4 linked regions of the Tamandua tetradactyla genome follow. The protein of the gene in region 1 interacts with the protein of each later gene in a biochemical or structural test. Links are inferred from orthologs where the notes say so. Each region holds a gene or a part of one and is shown in the gene's direction. Other genes may lie near its edges.

Region 1 (7,363 bases):
CAGTTTTGTCTAGTGTGTGTTCCAACTTAGGGTGTGTGTGTGTACGAATGTTGGGAAGCATAGCCGATTTTTGTACCTGGTTAAATACATGTTTTCTTCTATGGCTTTTTTTCTGCTGCTTTTTAGCATAGGCTATCACAAACTCTCTCTATTGATTTTAAGAACTCAATCATATTTATTCTAATAAAATTTTAAAAATCTTAAAAAAAAAAAACGATTTGTTTTTACCAAATCTACATCTCTACATTTATTCACATATTTTTTTCTGTGTTATCAAAACAGAACCTGCTCATTAATGAAAAATATGAAAATACTGAATATAAAAAGAAAAAAAAGGTTATTCATGGTCCCTCTAAAATATAAGCATAGTTATCATTTTGGAATATTTTCCTTTCAGACATTTTTTGTTTTGCTAATTTTAACGATATAGTGTTTATTCACTCAATAAATATTTATCGAGCACTTACTTTGTGCCAAATTCATTGAGCCAGCATCTGACTTTACAATAATGAAAATGCACAAATTCTACTCTCACTGACGTGTTATAGTCCATTTTTTATGACTATTGCATGCTTCTCATATGTATTATTTCCTTAATTGCAAATTTTATTGCGTGGGTGAATCTGTTTGTTTAATCCTTTTCCTATAGAGGGACATTTACAGATTTTCAATGTTATTTTTTTCACATTCAGATACATTTCTAGTAATGGAATAACTTGGTTAAAGTTTAAGGCTCTTGGCAAAAATTTCCAAATTGCTTTTCAAGAGGGTTGGACAAGGGCTATTTTTTGCCAGCAATTATTACGATCATTAGAAATTGTTTTTGCTGTTTTGTTAAGTACGTCATTTTAATTTACATTCTCTGATAATATGTAAGGCTGAATTTTTTTTACAATGTTAAATAAATGCATCTCTTTTTGAAATTTTTCTGTTCATGCCTTTTTCCCTATTAAGGTGCTCTTGTTTTTGTTTCAGTGTATCAAGTTCTATATGGAATGAAGATATGACCCCTTTTTGGTATCTACCCTCCCTCAGGAGAAAAGCAGAAAATGATAACTGAATCCAAGAAGTCAAACTGAGGCTTATGCATCTGTATAACTCCAGGGCTCAGCCCAATGCCTGGCATGTGACAGGCTTTCCACACATGACACAGTAAAGGAATACTAGATGTCAAGCCGCACTTTGAACTCTGGTGTCCAGAGACACTGAGACAAACATTGGCAAAAATGGCTTTTTAAACTAAGACTGGGCCAAGAACTGCCTTTCTAGTAAACCAACCCAGTTTTTATGTGTAGAAAGAAAAATGTTGCAGTCAGAGGACAAAAGAATACAAGTACTAGGGAAGCAACGGAAATGGCCTAAAAAAAGAAGGGGGTAATATAAAAGGATATTAAGGAAAGTTACTGAGTGGCAGGAATAAATAAAAACATTCTGAAATTTAAAAAATAATATTTATTCCACATTCATTGTGTAAGGTCTGTTGCTGCCCATGGCAAGCGATTTTAAAAAGATCTGTAGCTCCATCCTAGCTTACACAGTCACTTAGTTGAGAAACTTCTTAGACAACTCAAATTATGTATTTCTGTATATTTTCTGTAGACACACATATACATGCTTCAATGTATGTAAAACTCCGAGATCTACTGAAAGTCTCAGGAGAAAGCATCTCCTAAACTCCTAAAGGATTCTGGAGTCTGCCTTGTCCAGAACCCAGCCTACCTTTATAATAAGGACAGGTGCCTTTGGTTACACATTCGGTGGGAAAAGGGAGAGTAGGTAGTTGTGGCAATATCTGTTAGTATTGTCTGTTACCTCTGCCCCTCTTTTCAGGTTTGTGATGGAGAGACTGGCAAGATTCCATTCCAACACAGGAGACTGAGAAAAAACAACTTTCTTGTGTGGCTGGTATCCACATTGTCTGGCTATTTTGAGGACCTTATGAGAAATTTTTAATTATATGCTTTATGAAATAATTTGCATTAGGTCAAATTTGTATGCCCTCAGGAATGCGTATAATCATGATCCCCAATTTTAAGGATTGACACTGCAAAAACAAGAGAGAGCTAAAATAATTACAGAACAGGGTGTCCTTTGAGGAAGAAGATCACTTTAGAAACTACTTCTAATTGATGAGATGCTTCTGGTCAAGGTGGTGATGTCATGCTACCTTGGAGTAGTGCTGTGATTTGTAAAGAACCACTTGAATTTACCCTGTTAGGGCAATGAAGGCAATTGGGCACCATTTATCAATATCAATATCCACTATGGTGGATTCCATATTTCATTCCATTTTCCCATCATTTAGTAGTTGAATAAATGTTGAGTGGAACTTTCATCATGAGTCCAAACTGACTGAAGAATTATGGCATTTTCCAGCAAAAGTGGACTTAGAACCTTTGATACAATCTTCTTTTATATATGAGAAAAAGTAAATTGGAACAAGTAACTTGCTTGAGGTCACACAAACTATTAAGGATTAGAATCCGGTTCCTTTGCTTGGAGCCCAATATTATTTCTTCTGTAAAAGATGCCACCAAACACAGCTAAACATCTTTATCTCCCGATCTCCCTGCCCCACCCAAATCCGATCAGCAATTGGCCCTTTGGCTTGAAAGCTATTTCTGTAATAGTAAATTTCCTGAAAGAACCAATTTTTAACATATAATTTTCCTTTAACATCTCTCCATTCTGAACAGAGCAAAGCCCAAATGCCAAATGGGCTGGCTTATGCTATAGAGTCACATAGGGTAAAAGTTGGGGGCAACCTTCTGTCTATATTTTCATTAATAAATTGCACCCTTCGATCCAGCCGAATTGAAATGCTCGTCCATACACACGCCATGTTCTTTCTTGAGACCTGTTGCTCATCCTAACTGGAATAGGAATATCTTTCCTTCTTAATAACCTAGTAAGTTTTAATAATCCATTCCTCTTCTGAATTGAGAACTAGCACAGAGGAGAGGAATCTGGCTTTAATCCCACACAAAATAAGTGAGTGTATTTGGTATGTCCAGCACCTGGTACAAATCCCTCAACAAAGTTCATGGAATGACTGTGTCTTTGGAAAATTACAGAAATGTAACTTTACAGGTCAGAGTTGTAAGTATCCCTTTATCAAAACTTTTCTATTTAGAAGAAAAATGAGTAAAAATGTTGGCTCATGCAGTCTTTTTTTTTTCGTTTCTTTTCCTTCTAATTCCTGTTCTTCTGCTATGACTGCCATTCTCTCTGTGAACTCCACATTCTCCCAGCACTCGGGCCCCTGGAAACTTGTGGGAGAGGAATCCGCAAATTCCTTTAGGGCTCCATCACTGGAACAAGTTCTCAGTAGCTAGAGGAGGTCTGGGCTGCAAACAGGAAGTTTTTGTACTTTTGGCTAGTTTGTGCTTAGGGTAAAAACAGAAAAGTCCACCTGGAGACTCTGTAAGACAGAAGTGTAGAATAAAACTAGACTCTACTATTCCCACTACTTCTCTCAGTGTGGACATTCTGATCCAGTCTGTTTCCAGAACTGGTCTCTGGTATGCAAGTCAGAACAGCTTAGCAGCAAAGTGTCAGGTTTGAGCCCTCAAACTCTCCTCCCCACCTTTCTAAAATGTTGAGCAGGATATCTGAAAACTGTTTTGAATTTTTAACTTTTCAAAGCATCCGAAGGTCAGTTTCCTTTGAGTGCGACAACTGCGGGCTTGGGGGTCAAAGAGAAGCAGAGGCTGGTCCCCCAGTCTCGCAATACTTTCTTCCCCACTAACGTCCCCGATCCCATCCTGCCCCTGCCCCTAACGAGGGAGAGAAGGCAGCTATCTTCTGCCTGTCCCAGGCCTCATCACCACCACCCGGAGTCTTCCAGTGCTGAGGGGGGCGGCAGGGGACTCCCTGCCACGCGTCTAGGGCCCTTGCACAGGGGTTGGGGCCCAAGGGTCCACGTCGGCCCCTGAGCAGGCAGAGGAGACAGATCCAGCCTAGGGATGACCACGGCTTTCCCGCCCCTAAGGTACCCTCGCCCCGGGTAGCCCAATGGGCAGCCTCGCCCCGGAGGCAGGCGCAGGCCGGAAGCCACCCCGCGGCTCAGCGGCCCCGCGAGACGGCGCCCGCGCCCCCGCCCTCTCTGGCGCGGACTCAGCGGACTCTGCCGACAGGGGCCAACCCGCCGGGTCCCCGCCGCGCTCTTTGTCCTGGCCGCGCGCGGGCGGACGCGTGCGCCCCCCGGGTGAAGTGAGGCGCGAGAGAAGGCGCGGGAGCGCGCAGGAGCAGCTCGCGCCCGTGGGGCGCCGGGGGCGCGCGCTCCTCCGCCAGGCAAGCAGCGAGCACGCGCGCCGCCGCCGCCCCTCCCCCCTGCTCGGCTCGGAACTTGCTGACTGCGCCGCCGGGAGGAGCTGAGCCGGGCGGCTGCGGCGGGAGGCCACAGCGCGCGGGGGTCTCCCGCGTCCCCTCCGCCTCGTCGGGAGCTCGCGCCCTCGCCCCGCGGAGCTCCCAACACCCCCCCTCCCCTTTTTTTTCCCCGAAGGCGCTGGGCGGCGCCACCCTCCGGCCGGAGCCCGGCACTGCACAACCCCCTCCGACTTTCAATGTTCCACACTCCCCGGCCAGAGCCTCCTCGGCTTCTTTTTTTCCCTCCCCCCTTTCCCCCCCCCCTCGGCTGCCTCCATTTCCTTAAGGAAGGGTTTTTTTCTCTCTCCCTCCCCCACACCGTAGCGGCGCGCGAGCGGGCCGGGCGGGCGGCCGAGGTAAGGCGTGGGGGCCCGGGGGCCGCGTGCGGGGCGGCCGGGGCGGCGGCGGTGGGGGAGGGGGCGGGGGCGGGCAGCTTTGTTCGCGCCGGGCGCCCGCGCCGCCGGTGTCCGCGAGCCGCGGCGGGGACGGCCGGCTGCTCGCATCACTTGGCGCCCGGCGCGGCGAGCGCTGCCCGCGGCCCCCGCGCGGCCCTCCCCACAAAGGGCCGCGGAGCTGCGTGGCCGCCGCCACCGGCCGCGGCTCGCCTCCGCGGGCGCGGAAATTTGTTGCACTTCTTGGGGCTTTGTTTGTTTGTTTTCTTCAGATTTTTTTCTCTCGCTATTTTGGACAAAATGTCCGTCCGTGATGTAAAAATTGAGCGAGGTACCGTGGTGGCATTGGGAGCTTTGCAGAAGGTGGTTTGGATTCTGCTTTTCCCAGGGTGTCAGCTCGGTTTTGGCCGGATGAATCTTTGCTGCTGGCCGTGGAAACGGCTAGAGTAGCTTGTTAGTTGATTTTTAAATTTCTAAGTGTTGTGATTAAAGGCTTACACACACACAAGAGGAATCGCCACGTTAAATAAGCATATGGGCGATTAACAGGGTATGTTTTCCTTTCAGAAAGGGAATTTGGTAGCTTTGACCAATATCACTGTGTAAATATTTAGACGTTATTAGTGACTTTTTAACATTTTTCAGCGCGATCTGTTATTTACAGTGTGTCATGTGTTATTAATGCTCGTTGCCTAAGTTCCCTGGCAAATCTGTTTCATGCCTTCTGAGAAAGTAGACAATTGATAAATTGTCCAAGGGATGGAAAAAAATGTGAGTGGGTTTTTCAACTTGAGTTCGGTAAAAAATCCTTGAACGCTGGCGTTGTGAGACATACCAATTCCCCTGTAACCTTGCTGTACGATGAGATGTGTGAACATTTTTGAAGCTTTTTTCATTAAGTTACTATTTTAGGTGAATATTAAGAAAAGAAAATGCTAGTGGTTTATTCTTAGACTTAACATTTCCCCTTTTTTTCTCTCTCTCTCCTTAAAAGTTTTCCAAGAAATAACTTCACCAAGATGTCCAGTGACAGGCAAAGGTCCGATGATGAGAGTCCCAGCACCAGCAGTGGTAGTTCAGATGCGGACCAGCGAGATCCAGCCGCTCCAGAGCCTGAAGAACAAGAAGAAAGAAAACCTTCTGCTACTCAGCAGAAGAAAAACACCAAACTCTCTAGCAAAACCACTGCTAAGTTATCCACTAGTGCTAAAAGGTAATGTGTAAAAGAAGAATTAAGCACATTGTCAGGTTGTCTTCCAAATGATTGGACACTTCCATTGGTTTTTACATCAGCAGCAGTAGTTCAAAAACATTTACTTCATGATCAGTTTTATTTGCACTTGACACTTGAATGAGCCACCTATACTTTAGGTGGTATATAAACTACCTCCCTCAAATTGTACTTCTTAAGCAAACTTGGTCTGCATTTTGGTAACTTCAGACAGTGTTTCTTAGTAGAGCTTGGATGAACATCCTGACAGACTTTTTAAAGAATTTGTGAAGGTTAATTTGGTGAACCCAAATTAGATGGTGCACTGGGAGTGTTTCGTTTTTGTGAGTCATACTTGTCATGAAATGGACACTAAAAATCAGCATGAACTTAAGTGCTCAGAATTATCACATCTGCTAAAAAACTTTTACATTCAAGGCCTTGGCTGTGTGCTAAAGCGGATTTAAAATTGTCCTACAGATCTGTCTTAAGTTTTATAAACCAGATTTTAAACTATGCATCCCAGATATTACTTTTTATAGTCAAGTTATGATTGTCCCTCTGTTCTTGTGAGGACAAGTAAAACTTGAAAAGCAGCCATTTACAATTTTAGGTGTCACTTGGCTAACAGTGGAAGTTTTCAATAGCCAGATTTTCATCATCCTTTTGACTGGTTACTCTAAAGTGTATAGATATGCTTGACACGTTAATGCTCAGCAGCAGGAGAAGCATTTTGTTGGTTCCAAGTGAGAGGTCATTTGTTCATGTTGATTGATATTATCTGTGATGGACAAAAAAATATTTTGTTAATGGGATTCCATTAGTGATGGTAATTGAATACCCAGGAATTTTAGTAAATATGTGTACAGAGATACATCAGATGTATCTATAGCATTAGCTATTTTGACATTTTGTTGATCACAACTAAAGTGCAAAGAAAATAGAAAAACTGATCAAATATTTCATTCTGTAGTGATTCAGAAATACTCTTTTCTGTAGATTTTTACTATCTTCTATCAATCAGGTATTAATAACAAGAATTCTTTTATTAGATGATAGCAGACTTTGAAGAATTCAATTGTAGTCTTGTTGAACATGTTAAACAAATCTTGTTTTGAAAGCATGTAAAATTTGAATAAAATGAGAGAACTGCTTTTTATCTCCTTAATTCAAGGCTACATAGTATAACTTATTTTCCTTGAAATATTTTAAATTTCAGCACTTTTTTAAGATTAGGGAAACATGCAATTAAATAAGATTGCTAAAGAGCCCTTTGGAAGTTTTTCACTGATGAAAATATTTGTAAATTTTAAACTTTTTTTAGCAGATAAAATATCATCAAAACTACTTCCATGTTCTTAAAATAGCATGTTAATTCTTACCTCAATAAAAC
Region 2 (7,913 bases), on another chromosome or scaffold:
AATAACTATATGTAGAATTTTGTGAGTTAATTATGAGATTTCAGCTTAGTGAGTTTTTGTGGTTGTGGCTGTATTTTGAGGGTGGGAATTGGAACTGAAAATTTGGAAATATTAAACTGCTTAGCTAATTAATTGGAAAGATTTCTCTTTAAAATGAAAAGATATTTCAAATGTCTATGTAACTGTGATATTAAGACTTGCTTTACCTCTAGAAATGCTCCAGAATAGGTCTTCTGAACAGTGCAGATTCCCACAGAGCAGTATTGCCATTCAGTCCATTTAAGATTGGCCCTGACTTTTTTCTTTCAATCATAATAATATTTTATGTGCTCAGACTTGGATTATTCTACACATCTGTTTTGTATTAGGTTCAGAGCTAATGAAAAATGGCACTGATATTTTATTTTTATTTATTTAATTTTATTACATTTTTTATGCTTTTTTTCTCTTTGGCACTGATATTTTAATACTTGGTGAACTCCTACGTACAGTCTCTACAAGATGTATTTTAAATTACTCTGTGAAAGACCGAAAAGCTAATGGGGGAGATAGATGTCTTTGGACCTTAGTTAACTCTCAAATGTAGCTTTCCATTCGTAAAACCCCAAATTATTTACACACCTTTTTGTTTGACACTGCACTCACATTTATTTAAATTTTAGTACATCTGAATTTTTTTTCAGCTAATCTTGGGTATTAAAAAAAAGGTTTTGTTTTATTCATTCCTCAAATGTTTCTTGAGGACCTCTGTTGTCCTCCGGCCGGTGGAGGCACTCACCGGCCAGCAGCACCACCTTCACAGGGTTATAAGTGGATGCGGGACAGCCTGTCCACCTGCTTGCCCTGTCACTAGGTTAAGGCAGCCTCGGGGACCCAAGCACACGCAGGCTGTGACTCAGATGTGCTGCATTGCGTTTCCCCAGGAAGCAGCTGAAACCTGGTAACGGAACACCTGGGCGGCGTCTCCAGCACTGCCCTTCACAGCCTTAGTAACTTAGGAAAGAACTATCTCAGTTCTTTTTTTTTAAAATAAACATGTATGTATATAACATGAGATTTATTATGGGAATTGGCTCCCATGACAATAGGAATCAGCAAGTCCACATTCCATAGGATGGGCCCCAAATTGGGAACTCCAGGTAGGTTTCAGTGAATTCCCCAGGAGAGGCTGACTGGCTGGGGTAGAGAGAGACATTCTTTCTCCTCTCTTGGTTCTTCCTCTCTCGCACAGGAGAGACCATGCTTACTCCATCGGTGTTTCCAGGATTTCCGTGGGATGGTGTAAATGAGAATACCTGGCACCATGCCTCATCTGTGGTTGGTGCTTGGTCAGTTATACTGGGGTCCAAATGGTGATAAGGGTCACTTGGCTGAGGCTTTGGTAAGGCAAAGGGAGAAACAAAAAGCCATGGGAAGCCCAGTAGCGACGATGGTGGCCCTGTGTTACTGAAAGTGGGAATATCTTTTTTCCCTTTGTTTCTTTGTCTGGGCTCTCTCTGAAAACAAGCAGGTGAGACTTGGTTCAGCTCCTGGTTTGTCTGCCTGCAGGCAGTGGGATCTGCTTCCCTCTCATGGGCCCAGGACCATGTGATAGTTACACATCCTGGGATTGTGAGGATTAGATGAGATAAAGTACCTTTGATATGTCACAAGGCAGTAGTGCCTAAGAAGCACACAATAAGCTACTGCTACTATTTTTTTTTTCATTATTTTTATTGTCATCACTATAATTATTGTTCTTAGGCCTTAGAGATTTCTGTGTAGACTTTTGTGAGGGAGTGGCCTTGGTCCACAGGTGTGGGGATGCCTTTTGCACAGGAATTTTAGGAACTCTTTAAAGCTCTTCGGGATTACCCCTTCTTAGGTTGGTTAGAAGAACAACCTGGAGCCTTTTCTTCTGATGTGCCTAAATATTAGGGGCAGAAAAGTATAGACAGGAACAATGGAAAATTTGATTTAGTAGACATGGGATTCCAGAAGAGTATTCCCATTACACAATTGAACTGAAGCATTTTCAAATATCATTCTATTACTATCCCTTATTTCATCTTTGGAATGATTTTTATTCATCTTTGAAATACTGTTTATGTCCCTCATAGGTAAATCCATCTAATCACAGACTCCTGTTTGAAGTATTTGACGAAAACAGATTGGTAAGTGACTTACTGCTTTTGTATTTTGCTTAAGTTTTTAAAAGCTGAATTTTGAGCGTTACATCTTTGAGACTGTATTTATGTTGCACTTACGAAAGTATATATGCCCAAACAGAAGATTATTTTTGCCCCACCTTTGTTTAAAGTTCATAATTCCAACAAATATTTTCTTATTGCTAGGGTAGAAAGTTTATGTGTTTTTATCACAGTAAGTATTAATGAAAGTCTTCAGTGCTGGCATCAGGCCATTTTTTGTGCTGAAATGTGGGGACACCAGAAGAGTACAGGGATCTGAAAAGAGGCCATCTGTACCTGTAAGCAAACCATTCAGGGTTTTAAAATTCAGGCCAAAATGTAACACTGTAACCTATTCAAGAGGTTCTAAGGTGGGTCTCTTTGGAGAAACAAAAATCCAATTAACAGTGTAGAGCAAAAAAGTGAATCTGTATTTAGCAGAAAAATTTAAACTGTATTTTAAAACATGGTACTGTCTCAAGGGAGACTCTTAGAAAGTATTTTTAAAGAACCAAAGATATTTCTGAAGCATATAACCAATATACATTAACATTTTGGAATAGAAATTTTAGAAAGCAAATTTGGCTTAAGGTAAGATTTTAAGGAAAGTTTTGTTTTCTTTAACTACAATATACACATCAGATTCCCATGAGCCAAGTGTTTTGATGGTAAAACTGAGCATTGTCCTGAGAGTATTTTTTACTCTCAGAAGTGGTGTTATAACGCAGGTCCATCAGTATACCTTCCCTGAAACTTATGTGTCTTATCTGGTTAGGGGAATGTTCGTATAAGCCTTCCTTTTGGCAGAATTTAACTGAAACACCAGATTTTTGAGTGGCTTTATTTTAATGAAATATTTGGTCTGGAGCAGTGTTATAAAACAACTTGCTCGACTCCCTGTCGTTGCAGGTGAGACAGCTGAGGTCTGGAGCTTTACACCATTTAAACTGGGCGGTCAGTGAAACTAGTAGTGGTCGCACTGAGGCTGAGCCTGCTGGTTGCCCATTTCTCAGCCCAGGGGTGGTGAAGAGCCAGGCCTTTCACCTTCGTTAGGGTGTGTTTGATCTTCTTTCTGCACGTGATAATATTCTCCAAAGTAGACACATTCCGACCTGCCATTCTGATATCTTTCCTTTAAAAATATGTGTGGATTCCTTGGTGGATTTGCATTGAATTCAATACTTAGTACCTTGGGTGATATTTAATAGTACTGAGGAACTAAATCACTTCCCATTCTTGTTAAATTGAGTAGGAGAGTGTGCTGGGCCTCTTTCTTAGACCTCCGACTGTCCAAGTCAGTGAAGACTTTGAGTCAGTGCTCAGGGGAACAAAAATAAGTCACAGGAGATGTAGATTCACCCAAAGACTAATCCTTACTCTCAGGTTTATTCGGTACAGTAACACTTCTTCAAGGTGAAGAAAGAGTCAAATTTCAGGAAAAATTGCTTCTTTTCAGATGTTTTAATCCATTATTCAGATTTCTTCTATAAAAAAATTATTTCCCATTTCTATTATCTAAAATAATGTGGTTGGTGAGCTGACCTTGTCATGAGTTCTAAACTATACTTCCAAACCAAAAAGGGCTTTGAGTACAAATCTTTAAGAAATCCTGTGTAAGCACAAGCTTTATCTGAAAATTTGTATTTTACAATATTTAACACCTAACTCTTCCCTAAGCCGTCTACAGTGCTGTTACTATGCAATGAGTGCTGGTGGGGGGTGTGTGTGTGTCTTTGTTGGCTGTTAATCCATTTAAGACAATACGTGACTGTCCTGATACTTGGCAGTTTCAACATTAAACAAACTGGCTTCCATTTCTCTCCTAAAGGTCATTTTTGGCATTTAAAACACATATCTTTAGCAATCAGGTTTGGACGTGTGTAAATATGGGGTTAATCATCCACACCCTTGCCTCCAGAACTGTTGACAAAGTCATGCTTTGCAGATTTTAAAATAAACGTTTTGTCACTCGTTGCAGCTTGGTATTCTGCCCCTCCTAAATAAACCTCTTTGTTAAATAACCCACTTACTGGATTACGGAAAACAGTAAGTTTGAAACACATAGAGCATTTCCAAGTTAACTACAAAGTCTGTGACAGTTTTTTGAATGTCCACTTTTACTTTTAGTTCTTATGTCCCTTTTAGCCCTTTGCAAACATAGCAAAATTCTGTATTAGTATTGCAACTCTGGTAATATTGCTAATTCTAACTCTTCTGGAAGGCATTCGGCTCCAGGCATCATTTCTTCTATATGGTATTTAACTTAAATTAAAACAAAAGCTGCATGCACACTTCTCTTTAGTCTCCCCCCCCCCCCCCCTTTTTATTTTTGGTTTTCTCTCTCTCAATTGGGAGGCAGTGTTTTCTCCAGCTGGGTTTCCTTTTCTCTGGTGCTGCCGTGCTGACCATCTTATAGGTAAGATAAGCACACATATCTTTTAAATGAAAAATGTTAGTGTAGAAGCAGAGGGGGCCATGCCAACTGCCAGTGCTGGAAGTCATGCCCCTCCTCCTGTAGATGGGTCATGGTCTAATTATTTAGTGTTAAAGGGACACTAATTCAGTGGGTGTGTAATCTTATTTATAGTATGTTTTGTTTTATGTTCCATCATATTAACATGATGATATTATAAATAACAGAGAAATTTAACATCCAATATTTGTGCGTTTTCTTGCTTCGCCTGATTTTTTTTCATGTTTTTTTTACAGGGAGGTTTGGTGGGAGATGGTGGGGGTGGAGTGGGGACGACCACATATGAGCTTGTGTGTTTAATGCCAGGTCCCTCGCATTCGCTGGAGAAAGTCTGAGTGCTCTGCTTAGTTGAAAAGAAACGTCCTGTGAATGTGATGTGGTTCAGATTTATAGCCTCGTGGCTCAGACTGTGTTTGCTGCCTTAGTCAGCTGCGAGAGCTCCCTGCTGGGGCCACTCCTTTCTGATGGAAAAGCAGCAGCTGGGAAGGTGCTGTTTCAGGCTCTTGTTTAAAAAAAATCATAGCGAGAAGGGGGAAAACTCCACTAAGTCCACAAGCTGGCATTGGAGGGCGAGAAGGCCGTCATGTGGTTGCAGCCACCCTACCCTCTGTCACAGCGCCGATGAGAGCTTTTTGCTCTTATCCAATCCTGCCTGGAATGCCGCTGGCCACTTGGGTTATTTCTGCTATCTGCCGCTATTGGTTCTGCGGTGCTAACAGTTTGGCAGATGGGACACTTTTTCTTGGAGTTGATGTCTCTGGTTTTTGACGTCTGGCAGTGCTGGGGTTGTGGCTGCTGCTCTCCCTCTCCCTCCCTGCCCCCCGTTCACCATGGCCCATCGGCTTCGGTTTCATTTTGGCTCTGGTCGGAGCAACACAGCCCCCGAATCAGAGATCCTAGACCAGGAGAGAGACGATGACTTCTTCATGGCATTCCACACTCTACCACGGAGAAGCAGCCCCCACCCGTTCTCCCAAAATGGAGGGGAGTGTGGTGGTGGCCTGGGAGAAGGAGTGGGATCGCTCAAGCGGAGTACGTCCATGTTTATCCCTCAGCTGCCGAATAGTATCGATGCACGTCCAACCAGGAGCTCGTCCGTCCAGATCTCCCTGCAGCGCAAAGCTGTGAACGGACACACCGACGACTGCGTGCCGCCGGACTCACTTGAGGGCGGGCTTCTGTGCACACTTTCGGACTTCAGGGAGGATTTTACCACCCCAGTGAGAAGATCGTCTCAAAGCAGCTCCCAGGAAACCTCAGAGAGAGAGACCCCGGAGAGTTCTCCTCCAAGGATATCCAGGGACTCTGAACAACAGGTCAATGGAACTGGTCCTTGTGGCCACCGAGTGCTCTGTGCAGTTCCTGCAGAGCTCCAAGAGGATGCCATGCCCTCAGCCACCCCAGGGGTGGAAGGCAGTGGAGCTCCTGCAGGGCTGAACCTTGGTGGGGTCAGGATCCAGCACCGTGCTTCCAGTGCAGACACGCGCCAGGTGAGGCTGATGCCGTTGGGGTCCGAAGGACAGAGCAGCCCCTCTGTACCTGAGCCGAGGCGCTGGTCCCTGCAGCACGTTCCAGATGTTTCTGGTAGTCCTGGGAAGCGGTGCTTTGTGTTCCAGTTGCAGCAGTCCCAGCAGGGTGGTCTGGGTCTGGGTGGTGACTGCAACTTTGGTTTCACTGGCACGAAGGGCAATCGGTTGGTGAGGTACCCTCGTATTCGGCTGGAGAGGAGCACGTCATACCCCACCCAGCCCCGAACTGAACGAGTGAGCCCCACAGATGACCAGGGGCGTTCCGAGATGTCTCGCGGCAGCAGGATGACTCCAGAAATCCACAGGACGAATTCCATAGAGAGGACTCCACAGGGTCAAGGGTGTATGTTTAAGATCAGGCAAGATCAAAATGCAGGGCAACAGCATTTCAGAATTCTTGTAACTCGGGGGCCAGAAGAAACTCTCCAGAATCCTGAGGAGGATAATGCCAAAAGTCCTGGCTTGACAGTAGCAAGCGCCACGGTAAGTGAGCTGTGTTTACATGGGAGAGTAGGTCAGCAGGGGCTGATTCATACCCAGAAAGCTTATTCCGCAGTGTAATTAAAATAAACTTCGTCCTCAGCTTGGGGAGTTCCCCACCTTGGTCCACTGTAGCTTAATGGCTGGCTGCATTCCGTGACGATGATTTGTGCTCCATTGGTTGGTAGAGATCCATGAAACCAGTGAGCATTTCAGAAAATCTTGTTTGTGTACGCCTTCAAAGTCAAGAGCTCTGTTTTGAAAATTCAAACAAAACACCCTTTTTTTTTTTTCCTTCCGGATAAAAAAATTTTAAGAATTTATTACTTTGAATTCATCTGCCAAAACGCAAGCCAGTGCCTCAACATGTTCATGTTGGAAACACATTTTAAAAGTTGCTTGCCAAGATAGCCTAGGACAACATGTCCTTTACAAATAGTTCTAATAAAGGTAGTGGATATAGCACAATACTTGGGTTTAGTCTCCTAATTAAAATAGTGTGCTCAAAGTTTGGGTCTTCCTAAAGGACTTTTTGTTTTGCAGGGGCAGGGTGGGGGTAGTGGTGTTAGTTTTTCTTATGTAATTCATTTTCTTTGTTTCTGGTCCCATGAAGTAATGCTAAACAAGGGTAGTCGCACTTGTTGGACAGTGAGAAGTGTGTTTTTGAAGTAGGTGGACTTATGAACCCAGGAAAAGGCGAACGGTGATAGGGCCCCGTTAATGACCTGGTTGCATGCCTGTGGAACTTAACTCTGCCCACTTGAGTCTCTAAGCCAGGGATGCTGTATATAGATTAGTAAGTGCCCTGTCTCCAGCTGTGGAAACAGACTCCCTAGACAGATTTTGGACTTTCCTACTTGTGTGTTCTTATTCTCTTCCTTTCAGTGAAATGGAGTACCGAAAGATAGCTGCTGACTCCAGGCATGTGATGACTTTGCACTTGTGTAGTTTATAGTGAGATGGAAAGTTTAAATCAGGTTTCTTTTACTAGGAGTCACTAGCCATTGAGTGCTTTCTTAAAGAACAAGCTCTTTGTATATTGAATTGAATCTTTACCCCTGAATGTCATGTGATTATCAGTCTGAAGATATGATTATGAAATATCTAGGGGACTTTCTTTTCTGCTTGGATTTCTCTTGTGAATTGCCAGTTTTCAAAGTGGGTGGCTGTTATTCTAGAATTGTATCATCTTTCACTGCTTTGTGTTCAGAAATGTTTTTTTGCCATTCGAGTGAACTTTATCACAGCTCCATCATTGCTTTC
Region 3 (6,859 bases), on another chromosome or scaffold:
AGCCCACTGTAAACATTATCTAAATTATTAACACTGCTCTGAAATTTTCTCTTCTAGTCCCCCTATCCCCTGACCTCTGATATAAGGTCATGAAATGATGTCACAATTCACTTCCTGCTCCAACTTTGTGAGAATTTCCCTTACCTGGTTCGAGGAGCCTCTCATTTTTGCATCTGAGAGATCTCCAGCAGGATTCTCTCTCTCTCTTTTTTTGTATTTAAAAAAATGTTTAATATTTTTTAAACATAAGAACATACAAACATGAACATTCTTACCATATGATCATTCCATTCTTGGTATATAACAAAAAACTCATAATATCATCACCATGATGATTTCTTAGAACACTTGTATTAATTCAGAAAAAGAAATGGAAAGAAAAAAGAGAAAAACTCATACATACCATCCCCCTTACCTCTCCCTCTCATTGATTGCTAGTATTTCCATCTACCCAGTATATTTTAGCCTTTATTTCTCCTATTTTTTCTATACCCCTGACCACTCCCTTTCATTGATCACTAGCATTTCAATCTACTCAATTTATTTTAACATTTCTTACCCCATTATTTATTTATTTTTAATCCATATGTTTTACTCATCTGTCCATACTGTAGATAAAAGGAGCATCAGACACAAGGTTTTCACAATCACACAGCCACATTGGGAAAGCTATATCATTATCCAATGGTCATCAAGAAACATGGCTCCTGGAACACAGCTCTACTTATTCAGGCACTTCCCTCCAGCCTCTCCAATATACCTTAACTAAAAAGGTGATATCTATATAATGTGTAAGAATAACCTCCAGGATAACCTCCCGACTCTGGAATCTCTCAGCCATTGACAGTTTATTTTGTCTCATTTCTCTCTTCCCCATTTTGGTCGAGAAGGTTTTCTTAATCCCTTGACGCTGAGTCCCAGCTCATTCTAGGATTTCTGTCCCACGTTGCCAGGAAGGTCCACACGCCTGGGAGTTATGTCCCATGTAGAGAGAAGGGGAGGGCAGTGATCCAGCAGGATTCTTGTTCTGACCTGAGCACTCTGAGGTAGGGTTGTCATGCATTTTGCTCTTGGTTTTATTTCCTTTGGTTAAACTTGAATACTGATATTAGCAAATGGCTTTGGAGACTCTTATTCCTTCCTTTCCATCTATAAGGCATATGTTTCTGGTTTGGGTACCTATTACTGGGGTAGTTGGTTTCTTGTTATGTGATAATATCTACAGTACAGAAAATTTAGGAGTGATTTTTTTTTAAGGAGGGATTATTTGCATTTCAAAAGTTTTCTGTCTACGGCAGCCAAGTGAGACCCACATCCCTTCCACAGGCACCTTGATTGACCTTCTTTCATTTCCTTCCCCTCTCTCCTGGAAACAGGACTGTCTACATAATTTGCAATGCCCAGTGCAAAATGAAAATGTGGAGCCTCAAAGTCGTAAGAATCAAAGAATTATAATAATTCAAAAATTATTAAGAATTTCAAGGTGGTGGTGACAGCAGTATGTTAAGTACAAGTGCAAGATCCTTCTACACATGAGTGCTCCACACCCCGGCTTTTGTAATGCAATTTTGTTGAGATATACTCACACACCATACAATCCATCCAAAGTATACAATCAATGGCCATGAGGACCTTTTACCTACAGAGTCCTGGGCAACTGCAGAGGACACTGGCCCATGAAGCGACCCTGCAGGAGGCAGTGGTAATGAACAACAGAAGCTTTAGAATCCCATAGGCTTGGGCTAAAGTTCCAGCTCTGTAAGTTCCTTTTTTTTGGGGGGGAGAGGGGAGGCAGGGAAGAAGTATATGATAATAAGCAGGAGCTTATTAGGTCATTAAGAGCAAATTAGACTCATGGTTTCGGAGGAGCAGAAGCCAGCATCCCCATGTCCCATGTAAGTGCTGAGAACAATGCTTTGCATCTGATTTTAAAATCTGAGATATAATTTACATACCATAAAACTTATCCTTTAAAAATATGTAATTCAGTAGACTATGATATATTCACAAAGTATATTGATCCCCAAAAGAAATTCAGTGCCCATTAGCAGGTACCTCCCATTCCTTTCTCCCCCAACTCCTGATAGCCACCTATCTTCTTTCTGTCTCTATAGATTTGTATATTCTGAACATTTCATATGGAATCATACAATGTGTGACTTTTTGTGAATGACTTCTTTCACTTAGTCAAATGCTTTTGAAGTTCATCCATGTTGTAACACTTATCAGTACTTCATTCCTTTTTTTGTGGTTGAAGAATATTCCATTGATTGGATACGTAACAATTGTTTTATCCATTTATTAGCTGCATATTTGGACTTTTTTCCACTTTTTTGCTATTATAAGTAATGCTGCTATGAATATTCATACAGAAGTTTTGTGTGTGAACATATCTTTTCAATTCTTTTGGAGAGATATCTGGGTGTGGAATTTCTGTGTCATATGATAATTCTGTTTAACTTTTTGAGGAACTGTTAAACTATTTTCCACAGTGACTGCATTATTTTACATTCTCACCTGCAATTTATGAAGTTTCCAATATCTTGACATCCTTGCCAACACTTACTTTCCTTTTGAAAAGATTTTTATTATGATGGCCATCCTAGTGTGAAGTGGTTTCTCGTTGCGATTTGATTTGAATTTTTCTGATGACTAATGATGTTGAGACTCTTTTAATGTGTTCATTGACTATTTATCTACCTTCTTTAGAGAAATGTCTATTCAGATTCTTAACTCATTTTTAAATTGGGCTGTCTTATTGCTAGGTTGCAAGAATTTTCTATTCCTTATCAGATATATGATTTGAAAATATTTTCTCCCATTCTGTAGGTTATCTTTTTCTTGATAGTGTCCTTTGCGGCACAGCTTTTAATTTTGAGGACACACAATTTATCTATTTTTTTTCTTTTATTGCTATGCTTTCATCAGTGTAATATCTAAGAAACTGTTGCCTAATCCAAGGGAAAGAAAATTTACTCCTATGTTTTCTTCTATAAGTTTTGAAGTTTTTTAGCTTTTATATTTAGGTTTTTTGGTCTATTTTTAGCTAATTTTTTTTATATGGTGTGAAGCAGAGGGCATAGAATTTTATTTCATTTTATTTTTGTCTTTGTATTTTATTTTTTAAGGGCATAGAATTTTAATGCCCTCTCAGCCTCTCTATAATCAGGCGATCTTCGGTAATTAAAAAAAAAATTCTCTAAGTCTTATTCGTAAAGTGAAAATAGCAAATAGTTCCTAATTATACGGTTATACTAAAGATGAAGAAAATGTACCCACAGCATTTTGCACAGTGTTTAAATCACCCTAATTGCTCATTGTCAAAATATGAGCTGAATTAATGCTTTCATGTGCAGTGCCAGGAAAAGTTTAGCTTTTCTGAGAAAGTAGTCAAGGTAGGGGTATTTTTTCCACAGGCAGCAGAACTTCCCTACCAGTCCCAGTCCGCATCCTCAACTGACCGCTGGCCTCATGGTGACCTCTAGGAATTGGTTAAAAAAAACAACCATCTGGAATTCCAGGTCTCCATTTCAGATTTACTGAAAGAAATCCTCTGAGCGTGAGGTCCCAGAATATGCAGTTTTTAAACGTTAAATATAACACATATACAAAGAAGAGAAAGAAAAAGCAATGCTTTTCAAAGTACACTTCGAAGAGTAGTTATAGAACAGAATCTGCATTTTTATCAACTTCTCTAAAAGCATATTAAAATTTGCAGGGCGGTGGTGGGGCGAGGGTGGTCGCGCCTGCAGCACCGCCTCCGGCCTGCGAGGGGCGCCGGAGGGCCCGGGGCGATCACGGCGGCTGCGCGGAGCCATCTCCTCACGCCGGCTACCGCCTCAGTTTGCACGGCCTCAGTCGGCTCCGCCCGACCCAGCTGACAGCTCCGACGGCGGAAGAGGCGGCGCGCGGGTTGAGGCGGGCGTCGCTAGGCCGGGCCGGCGAGTGGTGGTGAGGGGGCCCGGGCTAGGGTGGGGAACGGAACTCTTGGACCCGGCACGGCGAGGCGGCCGGAAGGTACGGTGGGGACCGCGCTCCGGGCGCGCGAGGCAGGAAGGGCGGCCGGGCCGGGACTGCCCGGTGGGCCTCGGCCCCCCAAACCCGGGACGGGCTCCCTCTTCCCGCAGCGGCTCAGACTCTCCGGGGCGCTCACGGAGCAGGAAGGGAAAGATCCAGTCCCTGCCCTTTCGGGACACCCAGGCGAGCCCACGGCCGGCGTGCCTGCACAGCGCCCTCTGTGTGCCAAGCGCTGAGGCGGACAACGAGGTTGAGGCCTGCCTCAGGGTGTAGTTTGAGTCGCACAAACAACGACTCAGCACGCCTGGCGGCCGGCGCGCTAGTGGAGACCCGGGCGGCGGCGTGCTGATCCGGGCGAGGGCCCACCCCGGGCTGGAGTCCGCGAGGTGTGGCCTCGCAGTATGAGTAGTATTTTCCCACGCCGAAAGGGGACCCGGCCAAGAGGGGCTTCCCACACTGGTGTGGTTTCCCATTTGTCAAAACGAATATTAAATTTGAATGAGCTAATGCCGCCGGGTTTTATTCTCATTGCGGTCTTATAGATGAAGAAACAGCGTGGTTTGACTCCATACTTAGTTTTGTTGCATGTGTGACCTTGGGCCACAAGGGAACCTAAACTGATATTTTTCCATTACTTGTTATGGATTTAAGAATAGAGTTGCTTCAGGTGGTGGCATGAGTTAAATGCACGGATTTATGCATTTTAAAGGGTTGAACACCATGTGCCTGACACAAACCACTAAATATCACTGTTAATTGTGACCCACCTCCAGCTTATAGAGGGATGTGGCAGAGTGATGACTGAGCCTATATATCTGTTCCCCCATTCCAGCACACTGCATTTCATTCCAGTGCAATTTTTTCCCAGTGTCTTAATGCAGGACACTGCTGGATACTGAAATTAATACACAGATAGAAAAGACTTGGTCCTCCTTGAGCAACTAAGGCGCGAGAGGAAGTGCCAGTTCTTAAAACTACTGTAATGCAGGTTCGAATGTGTCAATGTCTTAGGAAAGTAACAGTAAAAAAGTTTGGATTTTAAAGAAAAACGTGATGTCCAATTGGGAAAAAATGACATGGAAGAGAAGCTTTGGAGGTGGGCCTTGAAGGCTAAGTGGAGAGAATCAGGTAGAAGAAAATGAAGGTCAGAGCCCTGAATTAAGGGGTCCTGGGTGGCAGCTTGGGAAAATGAGGTCTGGTGGTATAGGTGGTGAGCTATCAAAGGGAAACAGTGCTTGGAGCAGAGGTTCTCTACCTTAACTGCTTACTGGAGTCACCTGGAGAGCTTGGAAAGCTACTCATGTCTGGAGCCACTCCCAGAGATTCTGTTTAATTGGTCTGGGGTATGGCCTAGGTATTGGGATTCTTCAGAGAAGCTCCTCACGAGATTCTAATGTGCAGATAAGATGGAGAACACTAACCTAAAACCAAAAAACTAAATTCATCTCTCACATTATTTGTAAATGTTTTAGTAGGAAAAAACAAATAACTTAATCGCATTATCACCATGTTCTACTTCCTGGTAAATAAGTTTAAATAAGATAATGTGAAAGACCTAATACACTATATATTGGGTGCTCAATAAATGTAAATTGATTCAGAATCTGATTCTTAGCTTATTTGGAAATCACACATCTGAGAATCTGTTTAAAATTTATGGCTTCATATATTTCAGGGTGTTCATAGGACTCTCCATAGTCCATCTGTGGATCCCACTCCCCCACCCTCCCGGTTAAGAACCCTGGCTTTAAAGCGTTTAAATAAAACTGTTTGTGTTTGTTGTATTGTTTTGTTTTTTAAAATTATCCTGCTGTCATGCTTAAGTTAACCTTACTTTGAGTGTCACTGGCAGGATTGAGCAGGAGAGAGGAAAAACTGGAGGTAGATGGGAAATTAAGGAATAGAAGAAACAGAAGAGGAAGGGAGAAAAGAAAAAAGAATCAACCTCCCCACCCAAGAAGATGTTTGTCAAGAGACATGGCATCCTATCTTCTCCTATGACCTTGGGGTTTCTCCTCAGCTCCTCCCAGCACTGAGGGCTGTCAGATAAGGCCTCTGTCATTGCTAGAGACCTGCAAATGCTGGCTGTGCACAGGCTGTTCTAGGGGAGTAGTATGTAGCTGTAGATTAGGCTCAAGTATGTGGTAGGATGTATAATACTTAAGTAGTGATATTGGTAATTCACAGTTTAAATTTGGAGAGGGTCATAACATCCTTTCTGCAGAGGACAGGATTTCTGTAGTGTGTCTAGTATGAGTCCCACCTCTTGGTCTCTTATCCAGCTTTAGCAATTTCATCTCTACTGGCTGGAGAATAAATGGGATTTGCATGAATTCCAAACACCCTGAACTGAAATATAGACCTCAGTGTTAATATTCTTTTCTTCTGATCATCATGAACAGGTACAAATAGAACATGTCACTGTGCCTTAGATAGGGAAGCAGCTTAAGCAGAACCATTTCATCGGCTTGGGAACATTTATTTTTTGAAAATGGAATAATTTAAAATGAATTTGTTTAAATGAATTGGCACCTTTTATAATGTGAAAAATCATGTCCTAATTGTTCAGTTCTGTATATTTCAAGTTTTAAAAATATTTTAGTTAGGAAGCAGCATATTTGCAAATGCAATTATAATCCAATATTTTAATTGACAGAATGGTAATTCTTTTTTTGTTAAAGTAATTTTCATAGATTATCATTGCATATTTTTTCATGTTTAAATTCTCTGAAATTGTTGCCGCATCTTTCAGTCACTGTGATAAAAAAGCATTGACTCACACTTTAATTGTATATTTTCATTCGTTGTGTTACCTAAAATAATAGTAAACTTTGAATCTATG
Region 4 (7,006 bases), about 41 Mb from region 1:
CTCCTGGTAGGAAATAATTGGAATAAAAATCATGTGAAAGGTATCTTGTGTCTGATGTCTTAAAATTACCTTTCATTATGTTAAATGTATAGCTTGGCCCCAAAAGGACTGCTGTTCCCAAATGTGGCAGACCTCAGAGCACCCTTCAAGAACAAGCCCCTACTGCAGAAAAGCAAGGCTGCTTGGCCTAACTCCTGCAGTAATTCAGTAACTGCAGTTACTGCATTGCTCTGGAAAGAGAAAAGGAGGGATAAAGGAGACAGGTTTCCAATGCAAAAGCAATGCCCTTCTTATACTCATACCTTGAAGCAGGGACTAATAGTGGAAGGCCAGCGCACAGGGTCCTTGAGAATGAGGCTGACCAACTCAAAGATGCTTGTGGTATAGAAGGGAGGGGTGCCTACAGCCAGCTCATACAGTATGCAGCCCACGGACCAAAGGTCTGCTGTGTGGTCATATGGTCGCTCCTCCACCAGCTCTGGAGACATATAGAGTGGCGTGCCTTTGATGGAAGTTAGCACCATTGTGTTGGTGCTCATAGCCCGGGCAAATCTGAAAGAGATAATAAAATCTAGACCAATAAAACCAGACCTGCTCACTGACCACCTATCATTGTGTGAAATATCCCCAAACTAAGCAGATTAAGTCCCAAAAGACCCAGCAGGAATACCAATCTCTAGCTCAGATTCTAAAAGGAGACCTAACTAAGTCAAGAACATGGTCTAAGACTCCTTGCAGAGCTGGAAGCATAGATAGAAATTTAGAATACCCACCCAAAGTCACAGAGCTTGATGCCACCACCCTTGGCAAGGAGGATGTTCTGAGGCTTCATGTCTCGATGCAAGATGCGGTGGGAGTGCAGATAGTACAGGGCTGACACCAACTGGGCAGCAATGGCCTGGACCTAGGGACCAAGCAGTCAGGCAGGAAGAGAGGCAGGAGGAATAAGCCTATTGTAGAACCCAAAGAATCCTCCCTAATTTGACTACTCATGTGATCTTTTCCTCCTCTCCTTTCTTCCAGAGCTTCATACTATACATTCCTTAGTTCTTGCTCTTCTTGTTCATTCATTGCTTCATTTGTTCATTCATTCATTCAAGGAAAATTTATTGAATGTCATCACTAGCTGTAAGGCCACAGGCACATTGTTTCATTCCTCTAAGATTCTTCATTCTTACAGTGAAAATAATGATACCACCCATCTCATGAGATTATTGTGAGGGGTAAATGAATTAATGCATGTAATGGAAAGTAATGCTGGGGATGGTGCCTGGCATTTAGTAAGCACTCAACACATATCAGCTGTTATTAAGTAAAATAAAGTTCCCACTTTCAAAAGAGGTAGTCAAACAGGTAAACACAAAATGAAAGAGGACCTCAAACATTGATGAGCACTTGGAAGGAAATAGAGTGCTGTGCACAGAAGCGTGCCTACTTGCTAGAGTATAGAGAAACCCTTACAGTGAAAGTGGTTAGAGAACGTGTTCAACCAAATCCCACCATCAACCACTACATTCTAGTGGTGAATCCTGTCTAATTACAACCCTTGTTCCTTACTGTAGTGTCCTCTATGGCACCACCACACTGGTCCTTCTTTCCTAAAGTTGAGAAACGATGATGATGACAACATTAACACTAGCTACCTATGTTGAATACTATGTGTCAAATACCGTTTTAAACACTTTACCTGAGTTAATTCAATCTCACAACACTATTATTATTACCATTTTACAAATGAGGAAATGAAAGCTCAACGAGATTAAGTAATTCGTCCAAGAAGACCCAATCAAGAAGTGGCAGAACCAGGTTTTAAATCCAGACATTTTGGCTCCAGTGTTCACATACTTTATATATAACTAGATTATTGCATTCTTCTCAGGAGTATTCAAAATGGAGAGCCACCAAATGCCCTCAGCTTTCTCTACCAGTCTTTAACCTGGACAGAGGCTAGGGCAGAGAGAAGTTTGAGTCAGGTAACATACCTGATCTTCAGGAAGTTTCCCGTCATCTTCCAGAATTTGAAAGAGCTCTCCCTCAGCATAATCTGTCACCACCACCACCTGCAAGGAGAAGGCAATGGTGCTGATGGCTCCAGATTCATGCATCCTGAGGGTGGAAAATTCTTGATTCCCTTGTGGTGGGGAGAAGTGACCCAAAACCATCAAAGCGCACCTCTTTGTCAGTCTCAAAGCTGTCAAGCATGTGCACAATGTTAGGATGCTGCAGACCCCGCATGATTTCAATTTCTCGTTGTAAGTTCCTCAGCTCCTTCTCTGAACGCCCTAATTTTGGAATGAACTTCAGGGCCACCACCTGTCAGTGGTAAGGTGAAGAGTCAAGACCTAACCACACTATTGAAAAGAACCAGAACTTCAGCATTAACCTTGAAGCTCTAGAACTCAAGGTTCCCTAGTCTTACCCAGTCTTCCTCCACCCCTCACCCCAGGAGGAAACTGCCTGTCACGCAGATCCCTTTGCTTACTTTAGGACAAACCTAGGAAGAAAGTGGATTTTGGGAGAAATGTTCTCATTTGGGAAAAAAACTCAACATTCATAGGATTTAGGAGAAAAGGAAGCATGAAAATGAGGGAGGAAGAAGAATTTGGGTGGTTTATCTCTCTCTTACTGCATGATAGAAAGTAATAATAATATTTATTATTATTTACTATAATACTAATATCTATTATCATTATAGATAATAATAACTAATATTTATCTGTTTACTAGTTGTCAGGCACCGTACTAAGTGATTTAGTGAGATTTATCACGTTTAATCTCTAAACCCCATAAATTACATACGATTCTTATCCCCATTTTATAGGTAAGGAAATAGAGATTAAATAACTTGTCCACAGTTCAAATGCTAGAATGTGGTGGTGTGGGGATCTGAACCCAGACAATCTAAACGCAGAGTCTATTGACTCGCAAAATGAGTCAATGCCTTAGGAAGATGGGTCAGTATGAATACTTCTCTTCTGGTCTTTTTTTCCCCACTGATCCTCCCTCTCTTGGAGTCTGGGGGTAGGAATCCCACCCAAAAGATATCCCTCTTGGTTCACCACCTGAGCACTGTATTTTCTTCGACCCTTGTACACCCTCCCAAAAGAGCCTTCTCCAATCATCTCCAACACATGGTACTTCTCCATAACAAGGTTTCAGGATCCCTCAGAAGGAAGGAGGCAGAGATGGTGGTGAAAGACCACAGCTGCAGGAACAGTTCCACACATCTGCGAGGCCTAGCTGGGATATGGGAGAAGGGTTAACTTCAGCCGTCCTGCCTTTTCCTCTTTCACAATAATACAGCCCTCAAATACATGGGAGGGTGGAATGGACAGAAAGATGAAGGACAAGGTCTTAAGACAAATGGACCATCTCCTAGATCTCCATCTTTTAGGCCTCCTTGCCCCTCCCTCACCTATTCCAGAGATCATCAGACCCCGCCCCACTCGACCCAGCCACGCCCACCAAACCTTCCACCCACGCTGGGCTACCCGATCTCTCCACCCGTCCCAAACCGCGACCTCCTGACCCCTCCCTACTCGACACAGCCTCGCCACTAGACCCTCCGCAGTCAACTCCCATCCCCTCCCAACCTCCCTTAGGTTCCATGCCACTCACAAACTCCCCAACACCCCCTTCCTAACCCCATGCCCGCACACAGCGCAGAAGAAATCTCCTTTCTTACCCCCAGCCCAGGAGCTTCAAGCCCCTTAAGCCGAGGGACGCCAGCTCTGGCCTCCAGCCCCGCCCCCTCTAGCTGCCGACGTACTTTGCCTGATTTATAATCCTTTTCCACCCTCACTGCCGGTTTCTTTAGACGCTCACTCTTGGCAATTTTACTCACTAGCACTAGATAGAGTCTCGGAAGACACGGCGTTCAGAGGTATGGGCGAGACAGTGACCTACCCATAGGCACTTCCTAGGGCACTTCCGAATCTCTCTTGGTCATCAGGCCCCACTAAGGACCCGGAGTCTACGGTTGCCTAGAAACGCCGCTAGACGTTCTCCTCTCAAGTCTCTAGTCCCCGCCCCCCCCCTTTAGCTTTCTGCCTCCCGACCTCCCCAAGAACATTTCCGGTTCCGGCTGCGGACTGGAGGAGATATGGCGGTGTCTGAGTCGGCAGCTGCGGGGGAGGAGGACTGGTAACTTTGGGGAAATGGGCATTGGCTGACTGCCTGGTTTAGCGGTGGCCGCGGAGGGTTCTTACGGCGGGCTGCTGAAGTAGAACGAGGGCTGAGAGATAGCACAGAAGCTGACATCTCACCCTAAGAGAGCGTCTGGACTGGGGAGCGGGTGGGTGGAGGGCATGGGTCATGGTAAGAGGAAACTGGGTCTGGGCCGGGTCTCATCTGATTCGATTTCTTCTTCCTTCCGGCTCCATTCTGTCCATCCTTTTGAACTGCATTTGCTCAGGGGTCCATGGGATGCCTGCTCATCAGACTCCCCAGCACCTCCCTTGTACCTCTGGGAGCCAGTGCCCTACGGCTCGTGTATCACTTCCCTTTGGATCAGCTTATATCCGCCGAGGCCTTTCTTAACCTCTCCTTCCCCTACAGCACTAATGAGGAGTATGTCTGAATAAAGCTTTACACCTTACACAATCTTTCCTAGTCCTTATCGCAAGCATTCCTAACAAGAGACTAGAACCTGGAAGGACTCTTGAATTTGGAAGGAGGATCAGTGTGGGTTTATTACACATTTTATTAGCTTTGTAATGCTGATCACCTAGCTTCTGTGAGTCAGTATCTTCAGCTATAAAAAGAAGTGGGTGTGGCCTCTACTGCATAGAATCCTTGAGAGAATTAGTATGGGTTTGTAACATACATATGCTTCCTTTTCACTAATAACTCTGAGGTAAAGCAGCTGAGGAGATTAGATAAGAGATGAAGTGATTTGCAAAATGTACATATTTACAGCTAGGGATGCAGGTTTTTCTGACTACAAATCTTACAATACTAGGGCATTTCACAGTCCTGCTCCATACAGGCCATCCACGGCTCAAGTCAAAGCTAGGGTGGGTGAAGTATTGAAGGGTGCACAGAATGAGACTACATAGCTCAGCATTTCATTGGTTCAGGGAACCCAGTCACTGCTGGCCTTTGTTGACACTATCTGGGTTAGTGGTTTTCAAATTGTTCATTGGAACATTAAGACTCTGAGGAGACACCTGAAGCCATGTAGAGGGCAGCAGTAGCTATAGAAGCTAACCTGTGGTGCTCTGAGCTTCCCATTCCCATGTCAACCAAAAAACTCCACTGTTAACCTATTTTATATTTTGGGATTTCCACCTAAGACTGGGAAAGAAAGTCTTGAGGACCACTAAAATATAGGCCGTATTACAGCAGTCCTGCTGTTGGTAAGGAGGAAACAGTATAACTTAAGAAAAAGCAAACAAATGCATGCATCTTTCCATGTATTACCTGGGTAGAGCTCTGGACTTCAACCACTCATCTTCAGTGTTGCTGTATAACTCTGCAGTTTCTGAGATTAAATATATATCGTCTTATTTCTAGCCAGTGTCATAAATATATCTAGAGTTCTCTGCTGACTACATCCTTCCACCTTAAAAAGAAGGGAAATGGAAAAAAAGAGGACATAGACTCTGTGGCCCAGATTCTATTAGACACTTTGCATACACAAATCACCTTCAATCCTAACAGTAACCCTAAGGATTGGGTGTTATTATCCATATGAGGTAAACAGAGCAACTCGGTGTACAGAGATAAATAACTACCTAGATCATGTAGCTGAGTGATCTGTAGCTATGACTGACCCCAAGTCTTATTAATAACTTTTCCACTACAACATAGCCTTTATACTACCTAAACCTACGGTCCTGTTCAGATTGGTATCTCCTTTGAGAAGGCGCTTGGGCACTGTCTGAGATCTGTGTTCAATAGTGGCGTGCGAAAAACCAGGAGTAGCATTGATTACTTTGATGCTGTGAATGGACATCATGTTTCTGGGTCAGAGAGGTGGCTGCTAAGGAACAACCAGCACTGGAAAGAAACTTAAATGGGCAGTCAAAAAACCTTGCATTGGTCCCAGTTAGTCTTCTATTAAGGCTTGAGATTGAGGTATTAAACCTCTGTGCCTCAACTGTTGGCAGAAATGATCTCACAGATTCTGATTTCCATGCTTCCTACCTTGCATCTTGACAACTTAATGCAGCTTATTTCCTTTATTTTTATCCTTAAAAAATAGCAAGGGAATACATATAACGGATTGTCATTTTTTCCTATAAAGCCAGCCTTCATTGGTCTTAGAAGTGATCTCACAGCTTCTGATTTCCATGCTTCCTACCTTGCACCTTGACAACTTAAGGCAGCTTATTTCCTTTATTTTTATCTTTAAAAAATAGCAAGGGAGTGCATATAATGGATTGCCACTTTTTTCTATAAAGCCAGCCTTTATTGGCCTTAGCAGGCTTCAGCAGGGAGAGCTGTAGTGTTAAGCCAGTCTCCCCCTGTCTCTCTAGGGTCCTTCTCTCTGAAGTTGAAGTGTTAGAGTCTATCTATCTGGATGAACTACAGGTGGTTAAAGGAAATGGCAGGTACGTATTCAACCAGGGGTGGGCAGGAGCCCTCTTAGTAATGAGGTGAGAATTCCATATAGAGAGTCTGGCCTTAAGACACAGTGAGCCTTGATTCAGAGATGTTTCTCATGTAGACAAAAGTTGTTCCTTTAATTTTCCCAAAGGTGAGCCAGTGCTTGCTTCTTCTGCCCCTTTACTGAATCACTCCCATCCTTCCTAGCCCTTGAGCCCCTGCCTGGTCACATCCCAGGTCTCCACTTCATCTACCTACAGATCTTCACCATGGGAGATCTGTATAACCCTGCACCCTGCCACTGCAGAGGACCAAGACTCCCAGTATGTTTGCTTCACTCTAGTGCTTCAGGTCCCAACACAGGTAAGACCCCTCCTTTGTGACAGCAAAGGGAAGAAGGGGAGAGACCATAAGTGGAGCATTTCAGCAATAACTTGTTATCTTCATCCACTAGTAT

What was found.
Region 2: the proteins of UBE2E3 (region 1) and NEDD4L form a complex in vitro, tested with the Homo sapiens proteins (3 studies listed by BioGRID). The link is inferred for Tamandua tetradactyla from reciprocal best matches to the Homo sapiens genes UBE2E3 and NEDD4L.
Region 3: the proteins of UBE2E3 (region 1) and RNF14 form a complex in vitro, tested with the Homo sapiens proteins (2 studies listed by BioGRID). The link is inferred for Tamandua tetradactyla from reciprocal best matches to the Homo sapiens genes UBE2E3 and RNF14.
Region 4: the proteins of UBE2E3 (region 1) and RNF25 form a complex in vitro, tested with the Homo sapiens proteins (2 studies listed by BioGRID, with this or other methods). The link is inferred for Tamandua tetradactyla from reciprocal best matches to the Homo sapiens genes UBE2E3 and RNF25.

What each region holds. Positions count from the first base shown.
Region 1 is NC_135329.1:153,626,186-153,633,548, forward strand, and holds the start of UBE2E3 (ubiquitin-conjugating enzyme E2 E3), read left to right. Parts: upstream 1-4,351; 5' UTR 4,352-4,724; intron 4,725-4,982; exon of another isoform or gene 4,983-5,123; intron 5,124-5,161; exon of another isoform or gene 5,162-5,310; intron 5,311-5,754; 5' UTR 5,755-5,779; coding exon 5,780-5,973; intron 5,974-7,363. UniProt on the Homo sapiens protein: Accepts ubiquitin from the E1 complex and catalyzes its covalent attachment to other proteins. In vitro catalyzes 'Lys-11'- and 'Lys-48'-, as well as 'Lys-63'-linked polyubiquitination.
Region 2 is NC_135344.1:24,078,133-24,086,045, reverse strand, and holds the start of NEDD4L (E3 ubiquitin-protein ligase NEDD4-like), read left to right. Parts: upstream 1-4,891; 5' UTR 4,892-5,471; coding exon 5,472-6,653; intron 6,654-7,913. UniProt on the Homo sapiens protein: E3 ubiquitin-protein ligase that mediates the polyubiquitination of lysine and cysteine residues on target proteins and is thereby implicated in the regulation of various signaling pathways including autophagy, innate immunity or DNA repair.
Region 3 is NC_135346.1:22,075,383-22,082,241, forward strand, and holds the start of RNF14 (E3 ubiquitin-protein ligase RNF14), read left to right. Parts: upstream 1-3,837; 5' UTR 3,838-3,951; exon of another isoform or gene 3,952-4,017; intron 4,018-4,045; exon of another isoform or gene 4,046-4,403; intron 4,404-6,859. UniProt on the Homo sapiens protein: E3 ubiquitin-protein ligase that plays a key role in the RNF14-RNF25 translation quality control pathway, a pathway that takes place when a ribosome has stalled during translation, and which promotes ubiquitination and degradation of translation factors on stalled ribosomes.
Region 4 is NC_135329.1:194,206,892-194,213,897, reverse strand, and holds the start of RNF25 (E3 ubiquitin-protein ligase RNF25), read left to right. Parts: upstream 1-3,994; 5' UTR 3,995-4,102; coding exon 4,103-4,143; intron 4,144-6,479; coding exon 6,480-6,554; intron 6,555-6,809; coding exon 6,810-6,912; intron 6,913-7,003; coding exon 7,004-7,006. Other genes in the region: STK36 (serine/threonine-protein kinase 36), read right to left, coding at 303-552, 774-904, 1,983-2,060, 2,173-2,313, 3,063-3,146. UniProt on the Homo sapiens protein: E3 ubiquitin-protein ligase that plays a key role in the RNF14-RNF25 translation quality control pathway, a pathway that takes place when a ribosome has stalled during translation, and which promotes ubiquitination and degradation of translation factors on stalled ribosomes.